Kluyveromyces lactis: one gene and its partners. The protein of the gene in region 2 purifies or fractionates together with the protein of the main gene of each other region. This does not show direct contact. Links are inferred from orthologs where the notes say so. Each region holds a gene or a part of one and is shown on either strand. Other genes may lie near its edges. The genes, in order: PRE7, RPN10 and RPT2.

Evidence for each region.
Region 1: the proteins of RPN10 (region 2) and PRE7 purify together in Saccharomyces cerevisiae (affinity purification with mass spectrometry, with the first as the bait; 3 studies listed by BioGRID). This does not show direct contact. The link is inferred for Kluyveromyces lactis from reciprocal best matches to the Saccharomyces cerevisiae genes RPN10 and PRE7.
Region 3: the proteins of RPN10 (region 2) and RPT2 purify together in Saccharomyces cerevisiae (affinity purification with mass spectrometry; 5 studies listed by BioGRID). This does not show direct contact. The link is inferred for Kluyveromyces lactis from reciprocal best matches to the Saccharomyces cerevisiae genes RPN10 and RPT2.

The regions. Positions count from the first base shown.
Region 1 is NC_006041.1:502,261-504,356, forward strand, and holds PRE7 (proteasome core particle subunit beta 6), read right to left. Parts: upstream 1,331-2,096; coding exon 608-1,330; downstream 1-607. Other genes in the region: ERD2 (Erd2p), read left to right, coding at 1-443; KLLA0_E05655g (M20 family metallopeptidase), read right to left, coding at 1,599-2,096. UniProt on the Saccharomyces cerevisiae protein: Non-catalytic component of the proteasome which degrades poly-ubiquitinated proteins in the cytoplasm and in the nucleus. It is essential for the regulated turnover of proteins and for the removal of misfolded proteins.
Region 2 is NC_006038.1:356,641-359,095, reverse strand, and holds RPN10 (proteasome regulatory particle base subunit RPN10), read left to right. Parts: upstream 1-1,040; coding exon 1,041-1,784; downstream 1,785-2,455. Other genes in the region: KLLA0_B03927g (uncharacterized protein), read right to left, coding at 310-558; GTPase-activating protein IML1, read left to right, coding at 2,225-2,455. UniProt on the Saccharomyces cerevisiae protein: Multiubiquitin binding protein.
Region 3 is NC_006042.1:1,360,562-1,363,836, forward strand, and holds RPT2 (proteasome regulatory particle base subunit RPT2), read left to right. Parts: upstream 1-1,402; coding exon 1,403-2,707; downstream 2,708-3,275. Other genes in the region: RTG1 (Rtg1p), read right to left, coding at 455-1,075. UniProt on the Saccharomyces cerevisiae protein: The 26S proteasome is involved in the ATP-dependent degradation of ubiquitinated proteins. The regulatory (or ATPase) complex confers ATP dependency and substrate specificity to the 26S complex. Has ATPase activity.

The DNA of each region.
Region 1 (2,096 bases), on a different chromosome or scaffold from region 2:
TTTACGTCATTGTGTTAATGCGCCAACAAAAATTTAAAAACCCTGTCGCATATCAAGACATGATCACCAGAGATCAATTTAAAATCAAGTTTTTAATAGTACCATGCATTCTCCTAGGATTAATTTTCAATTATCGTTTCAGTTTTATACAAATATGCTGGTCCTTCTCTCTATGGTTGGAAAGTGTTGCAATCCTTCCTCAATTGTTTATGTTGACTAAAACAGGTAAAGCAAAACAATTGACATCTCATTATATTTTTGCATTGGGGTTATACCGTGCCTTGTACATTCCAAATTGGATATGGAGGTATTATACCGAAGAAAGATTCGATAAATTATCAGTTTTCACCGGTGTGATTCAAACTTTAGTGTACTCTGATTTCTTCTACATCTATTATCAGAAGGTTATCAAACTCGGTGGAGATTTAGAATTACCACAATAGATGACAGGATTTGCATCTCCACTTGCAGTCAGTTCGGAAGCTTTCTTCAGATTGATCGAAGCGAATAAAACACTATCTTATATTTTACTATATATATATATATATTGTACACTAAGATTCAGAAACTTTATCAAAAAGATTTCGTAAAAAAAATTGAGTGTAACTTAATCTCTCTTTAAATCGAAGTATTCTTTTCTTACACCATCCTTTGTGACAATCAAAATCTCTAGACCATCACCAACGTTGATATGTCTCTCAGTAGCAGATGTGAACGCATCTCTTACTAATTTGATAACTTCTTCCACACCTAAGTATTTAACTTCTTTGCGTTTAGTACCATTAGAATCAGGCTCATACTGGTTCTTTAAATTCACTTGGTTATCCAAAAATGGCATGATTAAGGAGGCCGCAGAGCCACCTGCCCTGCACTGTTCCCTTTCATAAGAGCCCACTGGATCGAAAGAGTATACGGCCCCCTTACCTTCTTCATCTAATCCAGCAATAATGGTATGAACATAATATGGGAACATTCTCTTTCCGTATAGTAGATGTTGGATATTCCTGGCCGCACTCTTTATCGTTAGCTTCTTGTTGTGATTGAAATGATACCACATTTGACTGTTTTTAAACCTTTTCACTAAAGCTTCACCGTCAGCTGCAAACCCATTCGCACTGATTAGAATGTTGTCTTCACATTCGAACACCTTTGGTTCATATCTTGAATTGATAGAATAATCTGTCGTGTGTCTGGTATCTCCTGCTAAAACGGCGAAGTCTTCCCCTGCAATTCCAAGAATTGTACCACCATTATCAGAATATGGGTTAAATTGGTGTTGAATAGGCACCTTGGAAAGTTCGTTTCCGTATTCTGAAGCAGTTGTTGCCATTTTATTGTACGGTGTGCTTGTTGAGTTTCTAGGTTTAGTGTTAGAGATGGTTGCTAATTTACTGGGCTCTGATGTTTTAAACGGTGGCAAAGGTTCAGCATATCACTTATTTTCTGCTATTATATTAAAGTACGTTCACTTAAAACAAGAGAAATCTAAAGCACGTGACCTCATTTGTCTGTTATAGTAATGGCTGAACATATCATTATTTGACGTAAGGCAAATTACCCATAGATATTGTGCTACTATACAGTTATATTGTATGGATTCAGTTCGATTGAACAGCATTTATGTAATGATAAACGAATGCCACGGTATGCATCACTGTTTCGAAGTCCACATGTTCGTTGACAGAGTGAATAGTACCAAGGGTATCTTTACTGGCAAATCCAGGTTGGAATCTGTAGATGTTTTCTGTCAAGGATAGGTAGTGCAAGCAATCTGTGTTCCCACTCATTATTGTTGGGGCGATAACAAGTTCTGTTGAATCTTCCTCCAACTTGGTTGGGAAAACGATATCTTCGTAGAAAGATTTTACTGTACCGGCAAAGTGTTTCCATGCATCGTTGTTTGGTGCGGGTGGAGCTGGGTCCTTTCCAACAACTACTTCAACAAAAAAAGTTCCATGTTCGGTAGGTTTAATTAGCTCATCGCCATTATATTCTAAACCAAGGTCATTTTCGTTGGATATCTCTTTGAGTTGGTTAATAAACTTTGTCATAGTCTCGTTCACAGTAGATTCGAGAGCTATCCTTGAGTTTATCAA
Region 2 (2,455 bases):
TCAGATGTTTACCTGCTGACTGGTAAGATAACAGTGGATTACTCTTTCACAACAAAAAAAAAAAAAAAAAGAAAACCGTGGTGTTTGTGTATGGTAAGACTTCTTGACCAACAAAAAAACATCACGTGGGAAATCATTACACGTGACTATTAATCACCCGGAGCACTAATTGGATTTCTCGCCCACTTTAATATCACCACAGAATTGGGGGGAAACAGTCTTTCGATCTTAGGCATGGTCACGTGGGAGTTCGTTCTGAAGTCCCCGGCATCCGTTCTTCGATTTGGTTAAACGATTTTAAATGCACTTCTAAACATCACCAGCCCTTTCACGGTCCAGGGTTTCCTGGATAGTTCCATCCCTCAATTTAGCCTTCTCTTTCCACGTAGAAATCACAGATTCCAGCATCTCTTTGGTGTTACCTTTCACTCTCTCTATCTCATTCAGGGCCTCTTGCAGTTTCTCTTCCTGGCGAGTTATTAACGCACTTCGAATCTTCTCTCGTTGCTTTTCAGTAATATGCTGCCCGTTTTTGGAACCATCTTCGCCGGTACTCATCACTGTTTCTCTATTAGTCACTTCGGCGGATAAAATCTCAAGTGCTTGATCTTCATTATTTCACCTGTTTGTTTACTTATATAAAGATCCGAAACCTTAACTTTTGGTTTTGACAGAGAGTTTGCGAAGTTTCTGCCATAATACGGAGAACGACAGAAGGCCCTGCAGATTGATCTGCGTGAAGGGGAAGAAAAAGAGAGATTGGATTTTTATTACCCGGATTTATTAATCTAGTGGGTAATTTGGTTCAAAGTAAAGTTAGGTTAATATTTAATATAGAGAAAAGAAGTAGTTCCTAGCTACAGTTGCCACCAGGGAAAAGAAGGTTAACTAATGGATAATTAAGTTGCTGAACCCATTCTATATCAATTAAGATTGCGTACCGCTATTCTATTTTAAAGCGAGATAATTTTTTGTAGTCTTTGATTGAATTATTCTCTTATTTGGAATCATTTTAGAACAGATATATTAAGGAAAGAGAGATGGTTTTAGAAGCTACTGTATTGGTTGTTGATAACTCGGAATATGCCAGGAACGGTGACTTTCCAAGAACTCGATTTGTGGCACAAGTTGATGCCGTTGAGTATATTTTCCAGGCGAAAAGAAACAGTAATCCAGAGAACACTATAGGGTTGGTATCTGCTGCCGAGGCAAACCCAAAAGTTTTATCCACATTCACAAACGAATTCGGTAAGATCTTGAGCGGACTACATGATATCAATATTGGAGGGTCCATCCATTTTGCCACTGCCATACAGATTGCTGCATTGACTTTGAAACATAGACAAAATAGAGTACAGCGTCAAAGGATTATTATATTCGTTTGTAGTCCAATCACTGAGGATAGACAGGATTTGATTAAGATGGCAAAGAAGTTGAAGAAAAATAGCATTGCGGTTGATGTTATCAATTTCGGTGAAACTGATACGAACGCTGACCTATTGGAGGAATTCGTAGAAACGGTCAACAGTGGGCAAGAGGATAGTAAATCTACTCTTTTGAACATTGATGCAGGCCCCAAACTACTCTACGAGCATGTAGCAGCATCGCCTATTGTACTTGAAGGTCCTGCTGCTGAGGCTGGCTTCTCAATGGGAGGTAATGACGATTTTATGGACTTTGGTGTTGATCCATCCCTAGATCCTGAATTGGCAATGGCATTGCGCTTATCTATGCAAGAAGAACAGGAAAGACAGGAACGCATAAGACAAAACTCGACAGAGTAAGTCATTCCTTTAAACTTCCGCATTCTTAACAACCTCCGTCTCATATAGGTATCTATTCTGTATACTAATGACCCAGTAAATCGTCATAACATGGCCCTTTAACAACTCAACTTCTTAATATTGTACCCTCTCCCAATATCGAGAAAGCCAACTTCAGTTCATGGTTTACTGCAAGTTCTCATGGTATTAACTATTAAGCTTCGAACATGTCCATGTATGAACATTGTCCTATTCACGTGATATATATTTTGTACCCTTTCAACAATAATCTACGAAAAAACCAATAATTTGAAAAATATCAAGATGCAGACAAGACAAAACACATATGGATGAAGAAAACTCATCCACTCAACCTCATTGTACTTTTTTTCTCCAGTTTGCATTGTAGAAGCAGTGAAATTGATCAATTGTCAAGGATCCCTAGTCGTCTTCCTTAAGACATGCCTCCCGGGGAACTTATATTTTCTAACCTAAGGTCAGGATCAAGGCCTGTTCCAAGGGACAGGGATGCCCTGTCATCAGTGCAAAGCGATGCCATCAGCACCAAATCTTCTGCAAGGTATAACTTTCAAGGTACCGGTTCATCTGATGCAACTTCTGGTACGAATGTTACAATTAGAAATAATACTTTGAGTATCGGCGTCAGCTCTCAAATGCAAGGATCTGCGTTC
Region 3 (3,275 bases), on a different chromosome or scaffold from region 2:
AATCGGATACCCCAATCGTACTCTCTTAACAACAGAAACAGAAAACTGGCACTGACTCTACCCAGAACAATTCGCTTAAACTTTACGATATTAAAGTTAAAAAGAAAAGAATTATTGGCTTTAGTCTTCAAAGGAGAAGGAAAAAAGATAGACGGCGAAAGTGCACTTCAGAGAGAAACAACGCCTCTTCTACCACCTCTTGTACCTAGAATTCAACAATCAAGGATGCGCACGGATCCAAATGTCTGAAACTGTCGCCGGATAAGTCTGCTGGTCGTCACTACCCGGTATAATTAGGTGGTTGCCATGTTCTTTTCAAATATGTCTTCGGGGTTTTAGTTTGTTTCGTGTTTTCGCTTTAGAAAAAATTCGAAGCTGGACCATGTTTTCTTCGTCAGTTGTGATAGTATCACGTGACTTAATCATGACACGTGACTTGGTTCTTTATTGTATTTCAGGGTTCATTGTTGTATTCACTATAACCACCGTATTCGAATCTATACTTGGGTCCTTCTTTTGGCGCTGCTGCTGCTATACCTGCTGGACCAACCGAACCTGTTGGCGGCACAGGTGACATGGCAGCGGTGCCAGGGGTTTTACTAGTGGTATTTCCTGCGGCAGCATCAATGCTGGCTCCGGCACTGGTACCGGCAAATTGGTTTTTAGATCCTTTGTTGTTCGGTTGCTCCCTCATGCCAGCTAACGGACCAACGCCGATTCTGGACAACGCTAACTCCGCGCTTGTGTTATCAAGGTTCAAATCGTTGACAATGTACCCTGTTTCCTTGCACAATTCTTTAACTCTTAGTATCAGCTCGACTTCTTCTCTGTTCTTGAGATCGACTTGTTCCTGTAACGAATTCACGTATTCTACCGCCTGCGTTAGAATTTGTCCCTTTGTGGGCTTGTTAGCATTTGCACTGGTCCCCTTGGATTTAGAAACCGGTTCGTCTTTGATCTTAGGATCGCTGTTCTTTCTATAATACTCTTCGAAAAATTCTTCAGGAATAATACTCAAAAATTGTTGGATTAGTTCATTGATATTACCACGCTTGGCACCATCGTCATCATTCATGGTTAAAATTAGTAAGATAGAGACTTATACCGATGGTAAGATGCAGTATTGATGCTACTTTCCTTCACCTTTTTCTTGCCAACTCACAGCATTCAAACTGTTTTCATCTGTTATTATTTCATTTTATATCAAAAGTCAGGATTTGGAATAACTAAATATTAGAAAAGCCAGTGGCGAAATTAAAGATCAACCTTTACAAGATACACGCCTAACAGCACAACATTAGGTATATCAGCTTGTTACCGTCCAATTATCGAGTTGCATTGAGGCACGAACTATTAGCTGGCAGTAAGGCATCAAGGTATAAGTTAAGTTACAGCACGAACAATGGGTCAAGGAGCTTCTTCTCATGGGCAGAAGAAAAAGGATAAGAAACAAAAGCCAAAATATGAGCCACCAGTAGAATCAAAATTCGGTAGAAAGAAGAGAAAGGGGCCCTCTACGGTGGAGAAACTTCCTAGCGTTTATCCAAGCACAAGATGTAAGTTAAAACTTTTGAGAATGGAACGTATAAAAGATCATTTGCTATTGGAAGAAGAGTATGTGACAAACTCTGAGATCTTGAAACCATTTGAGAAGAAACAAGAGGAAGAAAAGAAGCAGCTAGACGATATCAGAGGTACTCCGTTATCTATTGGTACTTTAGAAGAAATTGTGGACGATGACCATGCTATAGTGACAAGCCCTACGACACCAGACTACTACGTTTCCATTTTGTCCTTTGTTGACAAAGAGCTATTAGAACCCGGCTGTTCTGTGTTATTACACCATAAGACCATGTCAGTTGTTGGTGTCTTGCAAGACGATGCCGATCCAATGGTTTCTGTGATGAAGATGGATAAATCACCAACAGAAAACTACAGTGATATCGGTGGATTAGAGGCACAAATTCAAGAGATTAAAGAAGCAGTCGAGTTGCCACTAACGCATCCTGAACTATACGAAGAAATGGGTATCAAACCACCAAAGGGTGTCATATTGTATGGTGCTCCAGGTACAGGTAAGACGTTATTGGCAAAGGCTGTGGCGAACCAGACTTCTGCTACATTTTTAAGAATTGTGGGATCCGAATTGATTCAGAAATATCTAGGTGACGGTCCAAGACTCTGTAGACAAATTTTCAAAGTCGCTGCAGAGAATGCGCCAAGTATAGTCTTTATCGATGAAATCGATGCTATTGGTACCAAGAGATATGAATCAAACAGTGGCGGTGAGAAAGAGATTCAAAGAACTATGTTGGAACTTTTAAACCAATTGGACGGGTTTGATGATAGAGGTGATGTGAAAGTCATCATGGCTACAAACAAAATCGAAAGTTTAGATCCAGCTTTGATCAGACCCGGAAGAATCGACCGTAAGATTTTGTTCGAAAACCCCGATATAACAACAAAGAGAAAAATCGTCGGTATTCATACATCTAAGATGAACTTAGCAGAGGACGTAGACCTAGATAATTTGGTCACTTCAAAAGATGACCTATCAGGTGCAGACATCAAAGCAATGTGTACAGAAGCGGGGCTTTTGGCTCTAAGAGAAAGAAGAATGCAAGTCACAGCACAAGATTTCAAGGAAGCAAAAGAACGTGTACTCAAAAATAAGGTTGAAGAAAACTTGGAAGGTTTGTACTTATAAGTAGGGATTAATCTTCATATATATATATATATATATATATATATATACTACAGTTTAATATCTTTAATATCTTCACATATCCAAATTCAATCTCCCTGCCGCCAACATTTATGCAATGATTTATCAATCTAAGTTTGTATTTTTAACCTTTTACACTTTCACAACTTTTCGGGCAGATAGAGGGAAACGATAAATATAGAAATTACGAAAAGTTGAACTTTAAATGTTTTAAAGATTGAAAGGACAACAGTATAATGAGATGAGTAGAAATAAACTGCAAACTAACAAGAGCCTTGCAGTATATACGAGGTGAAGAAACCTGTGACTTGTGATTGCGAGAGAAAGCACAATTAGTTATTGTCAATTTTTTTCCTTATCTCGTTTCTAACAACTGCATTATTGATTGGAATTTTTTTGATAAAAGTTCAATTAGTTCATATTTAAGGACTGACAAAACTTTGTGGTCTTTTCAAGGAGCTATATAACTGGATAAGTTCCATTATTGGTATTTGTGAGGGTTCAAGGCGTGTCAATTTTTTTCTGAGGTCACTGGACGTTAGTTTTATTC